4 linked regions of the Oryctolagus cuniculus genome follow. The protein of the gene in region 3 interacts with the protein of the main gene of each other region in a pairwise test. Links are inferred from orthologs where the notes say so. Each region holds a gene or a part of one and is shown on either strand. Other genes may lie near its edges. The genes, in order: UBL7, AP1S2, AP1G1 and AP1B1.

What was found.
Region 1: the proteins of AP1G1 (region 3) and UBL7 interact in binary tests that used the Homo sapiens proteins (3 or more experiments, as listed by UniProt). The two-hybrid records come from large-scale screens. The link is inferred for Oryctolagus cuniculus from reciprocal best matches to the Homo sapiens genes AP1G1 and UBL7.
Region 2: the proteins of AP1G1 (region 3) and AP1S2 interact in binary tests that used the Homo sapiens proteins (3 or more experiments, as listed by UniProt). The link is inferred for Oryctolagus cuniculus from reciprocal best matches to the Homo sapiens genes AP1G1 and AP1S2.
Region 4: the proteins of AP1G1 (region 3) and AP1B1 interact in a two-hybrid assay, tested with the Homo sapiens proteins (2 studies listed by BioGRID, with this or other methods). The link is inferred for Oryctolagus cuniculus from reciprocal best matches to the Homo sapiens genes AP1G1 and AP1B1.

The regions. Positions count from the first base shown.
Region 1 is NC_091443.1:109,217,466-109,221,519, forward strand, and holds the start of UBL7 (ubiquitin-like protein 7), read left to right. Parts: upstream 1-1,196; 5' UTR 1,197-1,238; coding exon 1,239-1,278; exon of another isoform or gene 1,279-1,533; intron 1,534-2,659; coding exon 2,660-2,872; intron 2,873-4,054.
Region 2 is NC_091453.1:1,986,731-1,990,292, reverse strand, and holds part of AP1S2 (AP-1 complex subunit sigma-2), read left to right. Parts: intron 1-482; coding exon 483-591; intron 592-1,884; coding exon 1,885-2,022; intron 2,023-3,562. UniProt on the Homo sapiens protein: Subunit of clathrin-associated adaptor protein complex 1 that plays a role in protein sorting in the late-Golgi/trans-Golgi network (TGN) and/or endosomes.
Region 3 is NC_091449.1:55,426,328-55,430,336, forward strand, and holds the start of AP1G1 (AP-1 complex subunit gamma-1), read left to right. Parts: upstream 1-1,203; 5' UTR 1,204-1,709; intron 1,710-4,009. UniProt on the Homo sapiens protein: Subunit of clathrin-associated adaptor protein complex 1 that plays a role in protein sorting in the late-Golgi/trans-Golgi network (TGN) and/or endosomes.
Region 4 is NC_091452.1:22,748,406-22,751,967, forward strand, and holds part of AP1B1 (AP-1 complex subunit beta-1), read right to left. Parts: intron 3,013-3,562; coding exon 2,867-3,012; intron 2,513-2,866; exon of another isoform or gene 2,416-2,512; intron 1,403-2,415; coding exon 1,273-1,402; intron 1,190-1,272; coding exon 1,105-1,189; intron 519-1,104; coding exon 432-518; intron 331-431; coding exon 176-330; intron 1-175. UniProt on the Homo sapiens protein: Subunit of clathrin-associated adaptor protein complex 1 that plays a role in protein sorting in the late-Golgi/trans-Golgi network (TGN) and/or endosomes.

The sequences.
Region 1 (4,054 bases), on a different chromosome or scaffold from region 3:
CATCCAACACTTCCTTACTGCGCACCCACTATGGGCCAGGCCCTAGTCCGGTGGAGGGCAGGACAGAGTCCATTCCCCCACGGAGAGGCCAAAACTACTCTAAAGAACATATTCACAAGCTCCCAGCGCGGTCAGACAGGGTCGCGGGCTCCTGCTGCAGGCGCCAAGGCACAGTACGGACGTCTGATAACAAGACGGGCAGCGTGGTCAGCGAGGCAGACAGGACCCCAAATAGGGCGGGATGGTTGGGGCGACTCCTGAGACGTGGCGTGGCTAAGGGCGGGCCGGTAGGGTGGGCTAAGGGGGCGCCTATGGGGACAGCCATGAGGGGCCTGGGCTTCCGTCCGAAGCCAGGGCAGACCCTGGGGGAGCCCAGCAGGAGGGCGGTCATCCTGTGGCCGGTGTCCGAAGCCAGGGCAGACCCTGGGGGAAGCCCATCAGGGGCGGGGGTCATCCTGTGGCCGCTGTCCGAAGCCAGGGCAGACCCTGGGGGAGCCCATGGCGGGGGTCATCCTGTGGCCGGCGTCCGAAGCCAGGGCAGACCCTGGGGGAGCCCCGCAGGGGGGCGGTCATCCTGTGGCCGGCGGAGCAGCCCCGGCGGCCGCCATCGTCTACCTCGCCACCTCCGGACATCCACCCTTTCTGCGGCGGCTCCTCTCGGGGCTCCAGGCCACCCCACCCCGAGCCCGGTCCGGAGTCTCTCTCCAGCACGGAAGCTAACTCTAAACTCGTGCAAACTCCCCCTCCGCACCCCGCCGCGGCAGAGGGCGCCCCGGGAGCCCCTCCGGGACCAAAGCCGGGCGCACACCGGGACGCCCCCATGGGTAAGTCGCTGGCGGCGGGCGCAAAAGAGGCCGACTCCACGCGTGGGCGGAGAGCCCACCGGCGACGGGCGTAGCGAAGGGAAGGAGGGGTCGCGGCGGGACGCGGGTCAGGGGCCGCCGAGGGCCCAGCGGCGGGCGTCTCCACCGCCGGACCCCACACGCTCCTCAGCGGCGCGCGGGAACCGCCGGGCTGGACACTGTCTTTGAAACAAAAAAAAACGAAAAAACCCACAAATGCCTGTCCCGCGACTCGCGGGGGCGGAAGATGCGGGACGCTGCCCACAGAGAGGCGAGGCGCAGCGCTCCCGCGGGGCAGTTCGAACATCCCGGAAGCCGCGCCCTCCCCGGAACCGGAAGCGTCGCCGCCACGAGCCCGCCCGGGGCGGGGCCACGGCGGGGACTGCAACTCCCACAATGCAGCGCGGCGCTTCCGGTTTCCGGCGCGAGGGCCTGAGTGAGTGTTTACACCGGCGGCCCTGCGGCCGGGTTCCTTCCGCGGGACGGGTGAGGGCGCCGGGCCCCGGGTCGCGCGGGCTGCACGGGGGGCGACTGGTTAACTGGCCGCGCGAGAGCGCTGGGGTCGCCGTGGGACAGCGCCCCTGCCCCCACCCGTCCCTGTCCGTGATCGTGACCGGGTCTCGATCGCGGCGTCGAGTGGAGGGATGGTGCTGCCCGCCTCGGGAACGCGTGTCCGGCTTCAGTGAGCGCGGTGCATATAAAAAGCCCCCTTCCCGCATCTCTTCCCTGTCTTGAACCTGGGGTGGGAGGTCCCTTGGGGGTGCAGCCTCGTGGCCTTTTCCGTCCTCTCTGCTGCCAGAGGCCTGCTTGAGGCGGTAGCGATGCCTGTGACAAGGGCCTGACCCGAGTCTCCCACCCTCAGAGGTTCCCGATTTATTTTCTGGCCGGCCGTGTGTACCAGGGACGGAGACCCTAAAGGCGGCAGATTTTAGGGTCTTCTTGGCAGTGTGGGGCGGGGGCGGGGGCGCTGATGGGAAGCTGTAGCCCCCTTTGCCTCCAGGGGGCAGGGGACGTGGACACGGAGGAGGTTGTAGGTGGGTCGGTCTTGCTAGAAGTGTGCCAAGAGGCCAGAAAGGGAAGAGGACACGGGTGAGCGGGCCTGTGCCCTGGGCGGTGGGCGGTGGGCGGCGAGGTGGGGCCGGGCGGAGCTCTGATGGGGCGGAACCTTCAAGCCGGGCCGTGCAGGTCAGAGCGTGGAGCCGCTGGAGCGGTCATAAGCAGAGAAGTGACCGGACCGCACCTGCGTGTCAAAGCGCTGGGGGGCCGGCCCGGGGGGAGGGGCAGCGGTTAAAGGCCCCGCCCGGGCGCCGCCTCCCACGTCGCAGTGCGGGGGTTCAAATCCCAGCTCCTCCTGCTGCACTTCAGCAGGTGAGGGCTCAAGGAGCTGGACCTCGGCCATGCACCTGGGACACGTGGGTTGAATTCGGGGCCCCCAGACACTGGCCGATGGGCAATGGAGAGTGGCAGGTGTCTGTTTCCGTGCCTTGCAAATAAAATGTAAATAAATCAGGTTTACGATGGTGAGTTGGGTGGCCTCGTGGAGGTTTGGTGAGAGGCAGCAGGCAGAGAACTTGCTATGAAGCCGGGAGTGAGTGGGTAGACGAGAGGGGGCTGGGTGGTTTCCTTTGGGCCTCAGGACATTCCTGTGGGGTTGGATGGTGCTGCAGGCCCCTGCTGCCCGACGCAGGATGAGTGCTGGTTCTGGCCCAGATGCTGCATCCCGGGCTTCAGGACACCTGTCTCAGTCAGCCCCTTGGCAGGTGGGCGTGGTGGGGAGGGGCCTGAGCTCCGGCCACTGAGGCTGTGTTCTTTCACAGGGAGAAAGAGAGAGCGCGAACGAGAGAGGATGTCTCTCTCAGACTGGCACCTGGCAGTGAGGCTGGCTGACCAGCCCCTGGCCCCCAAGTCTGTTCTCCGGTTGCCAGAGACAGAACTGGGGGAATACTCGCTGGGGGGCTACAGTATCTCCTTCCTGAAGCAGCTGATTGCCGGCAAACTCCAGGAGTCTGTCCCGGACCCCGAGCTGATCGGTGAGCCTCCGCGTCGAGGTTGGGCGGCTCTCGGCTCTCTCTGAGGAGGGCGCTTCTGGAGTCCTGGGCTTGGATTTGTCTGGAGGTGTTGGTACACCAGGGACGTGCGTGTTGGCTGACCAGACACACGTGTCTTACAACAAAGCGGCTGGTTGCCGTCTCAGTCCGTGTTGTACTGACCGCTTCACCACCAGCTGCTCGCCTGTGACCTCACTGAGCTCTGCCTCTCGAAGGGCAGACACCTGGGAGGGAGGGTCGGCCGGGGAGGACTGCTCAGCGGGTAGCATTCGGGACGATCGATTGGAAGGTCTTTTTTGTTCTTGCATTGTCCCGTTCATTTGAATCTCGCAGCGTCCGCAGGGTTAAGCTGGAAAGCTTTTCTGTGCCAGTTTCCGTGTAACTCCATTTTATGAGTTTGTCCTAACAATTGTTAAAATCCATTGATTGAAGCCGGCATTGTGATACCGCCGCTCGTGATGCCGGCATCCCATACAGGTGCCGGTTTGAGTCCTGGTTGCGCTGCTTCCAACCCAGCTCCCTGCTAATGCGCCTGGGAAGCCAGCAGATGATGGCTCAAGAACTTGGGCCCTTACCACCCACGTGGGAGACCCGGATGGAGTTCCGGGCTCCCGGCTTCAGCCTGGTCCATCCCCGGCCATTGCAGCCATGTGGAGAGTGAGCCAACTGATGGAAGACCTCTGTCTCTGCCTCCCCCTCTACCCGGCTCTGCCTTTTGAAGAAAGAAATTTTTTTTTTTTTTTGACAGGTAGAGTTATAGACAGTGAGAGAGAGAGACAGAGAGAAAGGTCTTCCTTCCATTGGTTCACTCCCCAAATGGCCACTATGGCCAGAGCTGCGCCGATCTGAAACCAGGAGTCGGGTGCCTCCCCCTGGTCTCCCATGCGGGTGCAGGGCCCAAGCACTTGGGCCATCCTCCACTGCCTTCCTGGGCCACAGCAGAGAGCTGGACTGGAAGAGGAGCAACCGGGACTAGAACCCGGCGCCCATATGGGATGCCAGCGCCGCAGGCGGAGGATTAACCAAGTGAGCCACAGTGCCGGCCCCAAAAGAAATACTTTTTAAAAAATCTATTAAATAAGAGTGTCCTTTAAAGTGTACATCACTCCCCAGCTGTCTGTGCGACCAAAGTAAGGTTCTCCGGGGCCAGAAACTGTACATTGT
Region 2 (3,562 bases), on a different chromosome or scaffold from region 3:
AAAAAAGAAAACAAATTGAGCCTTTGTGACTTGAGGTTTTCCCCTTTGTGTGTATTATACTTAAATAGCGTATTCCAAAACATGGACCTCATGTTAACAGTGTCTTCAATAAGTCCTTCAGTTAGAAGGTTTACTTTCTTCTCTATTTACTTGTACTTTGAATTAATCAACTTCAGAAAAGTCCAGGTCAACTGTGTTTTCAGATGTTCATAGGAAGGTGCTTAAAAGGAAGAACAAAATCAAAGACCATTTCTAGGTAGTATGATTGAGTGATTGTTTTTGCTCTTTTGCTTGACTATGCTTTTCAAAATTTTTCTTGCACATTTATTACATTTGCAGCCTAGGAAAAAAGAATCTATACTGTTGTGAAAGAAGAAATAAGCATGCTTATAGCATGGATTATTTCATGATAGGTTACAAAAATATATTTAGAAAACTTGATTACAAGTTAACTTTTTTTCCACATTTGTTTTTTGTTACAGATATGCAAGTCTGTATTTTTGCTGTGCCATTGAGGATCAGGACAATGAACTAATTACCCTGGAAATAATTCATCGTTATGTGGAATTACTTGACAAGTATTTTGGAAGTGTGAGTATATTTTATTTCAGGAAATTTAATGCCATAGTTCTTTTTTTAATTTTTAATCTCTTCTTTTTTAAAAAAAAAGATTTATTTATGTATGTGAAAGGCAGAGTTACAAAGAGGCAGAGAGAAAGAGAGATCTTCCGTCTGCTGGTTCACTCCCCAAATGGCTGCAATGGCTGGAGCCGGGCTGATCCGAAGTCAGGAACAGGAGCTTCTTCTGGGTTCCCCACGTGAGTGCACTGGCCCAAGGACTTGGGCTGTCTTCTGCTGCTTTCCCAGGCACACTAGCAGGGAGCTGAATTGGAAGTGGAGCTGAATCGGAACTAGGGCCCATGTGGGATGCTGGTGCTGCAGATGGTTTATCCCACTATGCCACAGTGCCAGCCCCTTAACCTTTTCTTTACAAGGTTTATTATTTGGTTGTCTTGGGCATTCTAAATGTATAATAAGGCAGGAATGATTCTATTTCTTGTCAGTGGGCCTAGTTGTTAACTTCTAAAATTACTGGTCCTACAGACTTACTCATTTTATTATGATGAAAAGTTTATAAAGTTGAAAATAGTAAAATAGAAAGGAGTCCAACTGCAAACATTAACATTCTGGAAGTACTCAGTATAGACTTTAGATTTGGTTAGCAGTTCAGATCACATTATCTAGGAATTAAAACCAGTCTTTATGAGTTGAAAGTTGTTGGTACCACATTGGGAACCTGCAGACCAGGTCTTATGTAGCATAGAGGCATTGTGCTTTCAAATACTTGAGATCTGAAAATTCAGCTTATCTTAAATCAGTGATATTAATATGACTGCCATTTTTTAGAAAGAATTAAAATTGATGCAGTGTTGTCAGATTTTCTTCACTGCCTGATGATATTGATTAAGAATCTGGCTTTGGGGCCAGTGTCGTAGTGTAATGGGTTAAGCTGATGCTGCCTGTGACGCTGACATCCCATTTGGGCACTGGTTCATATCCTGGCTGCTTCACTTATGATCCAGCTCCCTGCCAGTGTGCAGGGAAAGCAGCAGAGGATGGCCCAAGTGATTGGGCCATTGTACCCATGTGGAAGACCTGGAAGAAGCTCCTGTCTTTGACTCTGCCTAGCCCCAACCGTTGCTGCCATTATGGGGAGTGAACCAACAGATGGAAGATCTCTTTCTCTCTGTCACATCTCCCTCTCTGTAGCTCTGCCTTTCAAATAAACAGTAAGTTTTTTTTTAAAAGAATAGAAAGTCTAGCTTTCCTAATTTTTGACAGTGGGTCTTTGTGGGTTTTTTTGTTTGCTTGCTTGCTTTTCAGGTGTGTGAACTTGATATCATCTTTAATTTTGAGAAGGCTTACTTTATTTTGGATGAGTTTCTTTTGGGAGGAGAAGTTCAAGAAACATCCAAGAAAAATGTCCTTAAAGCAATTGAGCAGGCCGATCTACTGCAGGAGGTACGCTACTCCTTCTCTTGACTAAATGCTTGCATGTTTTGCTTCTGCTAGGGAAGTCTCAGTCATCATTGTTAAGTTTCAGAAATCACTCTGAAACATGCTTGGCATGTAGTGTCCTTGTGTGGTTTATTGCTTGGAATATGTGTCAGTCACATCAATTCAGTCATCTGTGGATGGATAGTTCACTTTGGAGATGGTCTATTGGTCAGACCTCTTCTTTATGGCCCATTTTGGACCCCAAAACACTAGAGTCTAATTTTGGAAGACAGACTACTTTAAGAAGGGGAAGGATTGGCCAAAATTAACAGTAAGTTAAGAACTCTCCATCCATTGTTTTGAATTACTTAAGACAATCCCCTTTTTCATTAGTGTGGATAATTAAGAGTTGACTGTGAGATTATGTTGTTCTTATTCCAAATTGGTTCATTTTTTCACCTCATGTCCATTAGGTACAAATGTAGCCAAGCAATTGTTTCTAATTATACTTTTTGTAGAACCTTCTAGTTTTGTGTTAGCCAAACTGACCAAAAGTATTTCTATTTCTTTTGCTCTTCTTAAAAAACAAGCCATGTTCTGTCAAAACTACCCCATTCTTGTCATACCTCTGTATCCCCAGAACTATAATAACCCCTTTCCCTTTCTATTTACCACAGTCATCCTGGGCTAATTGTATATTTGATGCTTATGTATCATCTATTTGTGAAGTTTAAAATTTCATAGATTAAGTCTGCCTTTCTCTAAAAACAATGTCACCATAATTTAAGCACTAAACTGAATTACGTTTTAGAGCTAATTGTGGTTTTGATCTTACAGAAATTTTATAGCATGAGGAGTTAGTAAACAGGAAAAAAATACAGTGTTTTCATTAGATAGTTAAGAGTGTGTGTATATTAAAGATCTTGAATGCCTTTGACATGGCTCATTTTCCAGAAACACTGAAGACATGGTTTTGTATTTCCAGTTTAACTCCCTCTTTTTTATTACATATTTATCAGTTTATTCTTGTCTTTTAAATTTTAAAGGAGACTTTTAAGTGCAATTTTTTTAGCATTTCTGTTTAACAGAAATGTCAGATGTTAGGGGGAACAAAATAGGAGAGAAGAGTGATTCTCTGTCTCAGTTCTAACATTAATTTTCTGCCTCTGTGAGGAGGAGGGAGCTACTTGGGAATCTCCCTGCCTCAGTCATCAACAGCAGCAGTTTTGTGGGAGTTGCTCAGAGTTGAGATGATATTGGGAATGTACAGCTACTAATGCGAGCAAACACATTGTGCATTTAATGGTCTTGTATTTACCAAATAGAATAGTTAATGTGCCTGCAAAAGTGGGGTATTTTATTGGCAGCTCTGGTACTATTTGCTATTCAATAGTGAAGTGAGCACAAGCTCTTTTCCTTGTGTGTAGTTTGCCATGGTGGTTTATTAATCACAAACCACGTCATTTTGGGGATTTTTGTTTTAACATCAGTTGTGCTGACTACAAGTTCACATTCTGTTGTAAAATTGTTCTTAAAGTTAGCACATCCTTATTTTGCTCTTCAC
Region 3 (4,009 bases):
CAATGCCGACATCCCATATGGGTGCTGGTTCGAGTCCTGCTCCACTTCCAATCCAGCTCTCTGTTATGGCCTGGGAAAGCAGAAGATGGCCCAAGTCCTTGGGCTGCTGCACCCTCTGGAGACCCAGAAGAAGCTCCAGGCTCCTGGCTTCGGATCAGCGCAGCTCCAGCCATTGCGGCCAACTGGGGAGTGAACCATCAGGTGGAAGACCCCTCTCTCTCTCTGCCTCTCCTTCTCTCTCTGTGTAACTCTGATTTTCAAACAAATGTTTTAAAAATACATTTTACTTTCATCTACTTGTCAGAGGGGCAGGGGGAGGGGGAAAGGGAGGAGAGAAGAGAGGAGAAGAGAGAAGAGGGGAGGAGAGCTAGAGAGAGAAGAGCGAGAGAGTTATCTTCAGATCTTCCTGTTCACTTCCCAAATGTCAGCTACAGCATGGGCTGGGCCAAGCAAAAGCATGGAGCCGGGGACTGCATCTGGGTTTTTCAGGTAGCTGGCAAGGGCCCAAACATTTGAGCCATCCGCTGCTGCCTCCCAGGTTGTATTAGCAGGGCGCTGGATCCGAAGATGCTGAGACTTGAACCCGGGGACGCTGATAGAGGATCCGGGTGTCCCGAGCCAGAGTTTAACTCGCTACCCCACAACGCCTGGCTATAACCAGAGGATTTTAGTTCAGGTAGGTCACCTGTCCTTTAAATGGGCCAAGATATCAGGGCACTTTGCACATTCACGTGGAAAAGACTGGTTTCAGCTGATACTAATTATTTATCAAGCCAAGAACTGTCCCGTTGGATTTTTTTTGACGCAAATCATGAATTCCCGAAGTCAGACGGAAAGCCCATTCTGGAAAGGGTTTAGCTCTCATTAGTCCAAATCTTCCCTTTTTACACATGAGGAAACAGGTCCCGGAGAGTTCAAGTCACTCGTCCAATGCAGGAGCAAGACGCAATAACGCAGTTGTGTGGAAGCCATCCTTCGGTGTCAACCTCTACCTCTTCACAAAACTTGTGGCACAGATACCATAAAATGATAGATGTCTAGACCACATGAATGAAGTACGTTCCTGAGGAGACAGGCAACGTCTCAAAGGTGAGAGGAAGGAGCCTGGGATCCTCGTGATTAAGACCAGCTCAGCCCGGCTCAGCGGTCCCCGCCTCCTGGCCGCTCCCACTTCCTCGGCCACTTCCCCTAGCCCCACCCCCTTCAGGTGGCCCCACTGCTTCCTGGTAGCCCAGCACCCCACCGCCGCCGCCGCCACCATCACCGCGAAGCGGAACCAATGTCCGTCGGCGGCGGGGCCGGCCGGCTCTTTCTCGCTCAGACTCATCGCAGCGGTGACTCGGCAGCAGCGTCTCGCGTCATCAGTGACAGCCCCGACTCCGGCTACGCTCTGCGTCGCTCTGCCAGGCGCAGTCGCCTCCTCCTTGGCAAATAGTCCTCGGCGGGGTCCGAGTTCTTGGCTAATCCGAGAAGGGAGGCACGAGAAGTTGCCGTTAGGGGACGCGGAATCGGCTAGGAGAGGGGCATAAGGGGCCGAAGTTTCTGCGGTAGCGTGGGAAGTTAGTTAAAAACTCCCTTCCTTCCGAGGATCCCTCCGCCTGCGGTAGCGGTGGTGAGGCCGAGGGAGCCGCCATTTTGGATGTTCGGTTCCTGCTGCCACTGCTGCCGCCGCCCCCGAAGCTGCTGGTTTCATTCGAGGTTTCGGGCCGGTGAGTGTCACTCGCGGCGCTGAGAGCATATTGCTGCTTTTGCCCTGCTGCTGCCGCGAGCGCACGGCCGGAAGCTTCCTGTCAGTGCCGGGGTCCGGTGCCAGGCTGGTGGGGGGTGGACGGAGGCTGGGCCAGGAGGGGCCCGGAGCCCCGGGGACTGCTCCGACTTCTTGAGGGGCTGACCCCGAGGCCTCGGAGCGGGAGGCAGCGGCCTTCCGTGCCGTGGCGTTGCCCGGCCGGTGCGAGCCTCCTTGAACCCATTGACTTTCTCAGGCTGCGCTCTTGCTTTGCGGGCTCATTCAGCGAGCCCAGGGTTGAGCGGTGCGGGCCCCACCCCCGCGTGCCGTCTCGGAGCCGCGTTATCCGCGTTCTCGCGTCTCCTGCCCGGGTCAGGTCTCAGAGAGAACTCAGCTTTTCCAGAGGCTCGGCGGAGCGCTGCCTGCCCTTGCAACGCCGTCCTCGCCGAACCGGACATTGGCCTCGCCTCGCGCTGATCTTCCAGCCAACTTCCTCCCCAATTTCCCCCTTTAAAAAAAAATTTTTTTTTTCAATGTTTTAAAAACTCACCCGCGAGTGCTCCGCTCTCCCTTCTGTCGGAACTCCTGACCCCGCGGACGTCAGCCTCTGATGATCGCCCTGATCGTCTGGGAGAGTCGGGGCGGTTGGTTATGTTGGGCTGGGTGGGAGATGCGTGCAGCCGCTCGCTCGCCGTGCCTCGGCGCCCCGCGTGCATCCAGCAGATCAGACGGCTTTTGGGGGGCGGGAGCTGTCACATGTTTTTCTCCTTTGTGGGTTCTGTTCCTGTGTTGGCCGCTTACTCTTTGGGTGGCTACCGACTTTCCTGTGATTTCCGTGATCCTGTCTGCCCTTGAGCATGGGAATCTGTGCAGAGTGGTAATCTGACTTAGGTCGGCAGGAGAGTTAACTTCTTTGGGCTGGCGGAGGGATTAGTTGGCAGAGAGGAGTGAGGGCTTTCTTCAGGTGTTCCTACAGACATGACGTGTGCTGATTATGAAAATACTTCCTGTATCGGATTTTTTGGAAATAGTTGGATTTTTAATACTCATTTCTATTGTTCTTTGCAATGCTTGTCAGACTATATATACCTTGACTTCTGGTTTGAAAAACAAGGACCTTCCCGGTGTCCATGATCTTACTACTTTTGTTTTACTCTTAATGCATGTTTGCGACCTAGCATACTTGAACAAAAAGCGTTTCACAGTAATTCACTGATTATTTCCTACATTTCAAGTTAGGTGAGTGTGACTGAATCACCCTGGGTTTTTACCTTTGCAAAAGAGGAATAAGGCATTTGAGGTCGCAGTCTAGTGACTTGAAATTTAAATTTATGACTTGAACCGAACCACGTCTTTTACTATTTCTAAACCACACAGATGCATTATTCTTACTAGGTTATTGAAATTAGACTAGATAAATTCCTGTACAGTCATACGACAACTAAATATTTTGAGCATATGTGCTCTGTTCTTGTTAATAGTCTTACTCAGGCAGCAGTTCTGTGAGTTTGTATTAATTGGAATCTATGGAATTTTCTCTGGGTTTACAGGAACTGTCAGACACTGAACACTTATGGAATATTCACTCATGTACTAAGTACTTCCTTGTGGTTACTACTGAAATGTGTTTCAGAGTTACAGATTTTCTAGCGATATTGGGAGAGTTAAGAGGTGGGTGTTAACTGAACTCAGTTCATTTCATAGTATAATGTACTGGTAGGTAAACACTGCTTATCTTAAACGGTTTGCATTCACTTGAGAAAATGTTCCTTTTGCCTTAACACTTTATTGGCAAAGTGCTGTTCACTGCACCATTGATTGATCAGCTCATATGTGAATGTCTGCTTTGTTTAGGATTATTAGGAGTTGCACTTGAATTAATAGTGTTTAGGAAACCTCCATTCAGTTTTCTTTTGATAACAGTTGATTGCTCTTTGATCTGACTGACAGCGCTTCTGATTTGGGGCAACTAGTAGAGTGAAATTGAGAAGTACAGAAATTGTTAGTAATGCCCTGGTGATATTTCACCCCCAGTATTTATTTTAATAGTGAGTTTTAAAATTCAGTGATATGCAAAACCAAGTTTTTGTGATTTATGAAAACTATACAAGTTAAAAAAGTTGAAGGAGTGTTTTCCAAAGGATTACTTTTAATTAAAAAATTGAACTGGGCATCTACATACCAAAATAGATTTTTGCAGTGCTTAATCCTCTTATTTGCATTTGATGAGGATTTTTGAATTTTATGTATACAGCCAGACTTAGTTGATATCAAAACCATAAA
Region 4 (3,562 bases), on a different chromosome or scaffold from region 3:
AACCGTCTGTCCCGAGACCCACTTGGAGGCTTTTGTGGGTGACCTGGCAGGGCTGAGCTGGAAGCTCCCTAGAAAGGTGCCTTCCTGCTCGCGGCAGGCTCAGGGGGACCCCTGGCGCAGCATCCCCATCAGAGCCGCCCCCGGCTGGGGCGCCTGGTAGGCACGGGGCGCTCACCGTGAGGTTGGGGTTGCCGGGCTGTATGCGCAGCTCGGCCAGCACCCAGATGCCATTGGTCAGCCTCAGGGACTGGTAGAGCATGTCCTGGGCCTCCACGTTCCGCTTGGCGATGGTGAAGACGTTGCTGCTCTGCAGCCTGCTGCTCACGGCCTCTGTGAGGTCGGGAGGACCCGAGAGGACCCAGTCAGAGGGCAGTGGCCCAGGGCCAGCCAAGGCCCAGCCAGGGCTCAAGGTCGGGCTGGGGGGTTCTCACCCGCATTGAGGGGGCAGTCTCTGATCTGGAACTGGGCTTCGTTCTCATTGGGGATATCTTTCCATGTGGCCAGGAACATCTGCCGGTCTGGAAGGTGAGGGGGACCCTCATAAACCCGTGGCCCCTCAACCACCTGGAACAGGCCATGGGCCTGTGTCCAGTGTGCCGCCTGAAATTCAGGACGGGCACCAGCGCCCGCACAGCCCCAAGCCGAGCACACCCTCAGTTCTGTGAGGAGGCCCGAGAGCTGCTCCCGAGGGACCCTGGGCTTCCTGCCGCCCACCTCCACCCCACCACATGCCGGCCTCCTGCCCGGGCAGGGCAGCCTGTCAGTCACACCTGCCTCATGGGGCTTCCTCCTGGGTCAAGTGAGAGACAATCCCGGCAGCCCAGGGCATGGCTAAGGCCTCTGGGTACAAAAGCAGTGAGTGCCAGTCACGGGACATGACCTGGGGTCCCTGCCACCCCTGGGACAAGGCTGAGAGCAGGCAGGAGAGCCTGCAAGTGAGATGACCCTGTGTGGCACAGCCCACCTGCTGGCCAGGCATGCCCCTTGGGACAGGCTTCGCAAGGACCCAGTCAAGGGGCAGGCGAAACCATCCAGGCCTTGGGCAAGCGCCAGCTGGGCCAGGTTCCTAAGCCCTGGCCCCTGCTTGGGGCCTTCACGACTCACCCATTTTCCCGTCCTCCACAAAGAGGATGTGCAGAGGGTACAAGGTGCTGAAGTAGAAGACGTCTATGTTGTTCTTCACGGCCACCTAGGCAGAGGCGCCCGTCAGCCCCAGGCAGGACGTCCCTCCCGGCACCCATGCCCCTTTGCCACGGCGGGGGGGGGACCCACCTGGAGGTTGTTCAGGGGCTCCATCTTCATGACCGAGCCCACCGTGTTAAGAGGCAGCGAGATCTCCACAGTCTGGTTGGGGCTCAGTGGTGCGTGGACCTGGAGGGGGGCGGCGGGGGCCAGGCCAAAGCTAGGGAGAGAGAAGCCCCCGCAGGCACAGCTGGGCAGCAGGTGCTGACCGGGCACAGGTGGGCTCCTCCCCAAGCTGCCTCAGCCGAGCTGCAGTCCTGGGGCAGGACAGGCTCACGAGCTCCCAGGCCCCTCAGTGGCTGTGGCACAGGAGGAAAGGGCCCCAGGCTGCAGGCTCTGCCCAGCCCAGCCCAGCGCTGGCCGACGCTGGCCTGGGGGGCACTGGGCAGCCTCAGACAAGCAAGGCCCTGCCTGTCCTCCCTCCACAAGCTCTTCCTCCTACCAACAGCCTGTGGCAAAGCTCTGTGGCTGCCCAAGTCTCTGCTGCCCACACCCACTCCCTAGGAAGGATGTGAACCCCATCGGGCACTGGGATTTACTGTCTAGGGCAGCACTGGCCAGGTCACATGATGGCCAGTTTCAGGAAAGCCCTGCTTCTCTACGGCAGCACATAAGCAAATGGGGAGACTCAGATCCTTGTCAGACACAGCATGGACTGGGGGCTCCATCCGCCCAGGCTGGCATTTGACTTGATACCAATTCCCAAGCTCAGGAAACAGAGACAGGCACACATCGCCTCATCTTCCAGGTGAAGATGGTGTACCTCAAGGAGGGCCAGGTCCACGTCTGCTCTACAGGTGAGTGACAGTGCTGAGTCAGAGCTCGAGCTGCCTGCCTGGGACACAGCGGGAGAAGCAGCGGGCGACCCAGGCCCGCGCAGTGGCCCCGCACTACAGGCTTTCCTGGGAGCTCCGCCACTGCCTGCTGCGTGACCTGGGGCAACCTACCTGCCCTGAGCCCAGAGGTAATGGCCCTGACTTGACGGGCTGTCACCTGCTTCAAGTGAGACAATACCCCCAGAGCCCTGGGCACAGTGTTCCAGCCAGCAGGTTTTTCTGAGTGACCAGCCTGGAGCATGTCTGTGGCCGACAGGGTCTGTTGAGCGGAAGGGGAGGAGCTGCCCCAGCCTCCCTGTCTGCCGGAGGGTGGGGGTGTCCCTGGCCACGGCTCCCCGAGGAAGCAGCCCCTTCAGTCAACTTCTTAGAGGCTCAGTTTGCTCATCACTGGAGCCGCTCAGGAAGAGGGATCATCAGGAGGGGCTGCTTGGTCTCCAGAGCCCTGGCCTGACCCACGGTGGTACAGACAGGTAGCCTTCCTGTCACTCGCTGTGCGGGGACCTGGCAGGGCTGACGGCCTGGAGCAGGGCTCACCCCTGAGGCCCTGCCTGCAGGGGCAGGCTCACTGGGGGACAGACCCTCCTGACAGGTGGGGTGTTTGCCAAGGGCCAGCTCCTGGGCTGCCACTGGGGAAACACTCTCCCCACTCTTTCTGGGACTGCAGAGTCCACGAAAGTGGCCATGGAGGGAAGAGAGTTCCGGCCTGTAGGGTGGTGAGCAATGCCACCCGCTCCAGCTCCCCGGGGCCCTCAGCCCCTGCCTGCAGGTGGCTGGCCTCGGGAGCTTACCTGTTGCGGTTGAACTGGATTGCAAAGTCGGTCATGACCTGTAGGGCCTTGTTGGTGAGCTGCAGGTCCATGGAGATGGCGCCCACCTGGCGTGTGAAGGTGCCCGAGATCTCCAGCCCCTTAGCCTTCATGGCCGGGAGCCAGACCTGCAAGAAGGGGGAGGGGGGTGGCTGGCATGTGCCAGGTCCTGGCCCAGACACAAGGGCCCACCCCAGGGTCCCTTTTCTTTCTCTCCTGGAGGGGCCTCCCAGACTGAGCACCCTGCTTTGCTTCCTAGGGGTTGACCACTGACCTCAGGGGAGGAGAATGAGCCCGTGGCCTCGCACTGAGCAGCTCGCGCTGCAAAGGTGCTGGGCGTGCTCAAGGGCTGCTCTGAGAGTCGAGGTCAGAGAGGAAAATGGTCAGAAAAGGATATGGGGGAAGTGGGCTGAGGAGACGACCAGACAGTGTGCCCTGCCAGTCTCCGCACAAGCCAAGGACAGAGCGAAGTGCCCGGCGGCACCCCAGCTGTCACAGCCTGTACTGTGCAGGGGGCAGGGCTGGCCCAGAATCGCAGAAACTGGTCAGAGCAAGGACAGTACCTAGGAGGAGCCCTCGTGTGGCAGGCCCTCTGCTGCTTGGCTGCCCTTGTCACTCGAGTCTCAAGGGCCTCCTCCTCTGGGAAGCCTGTCTCCGGGCACTTCCCCGTGTTCATGC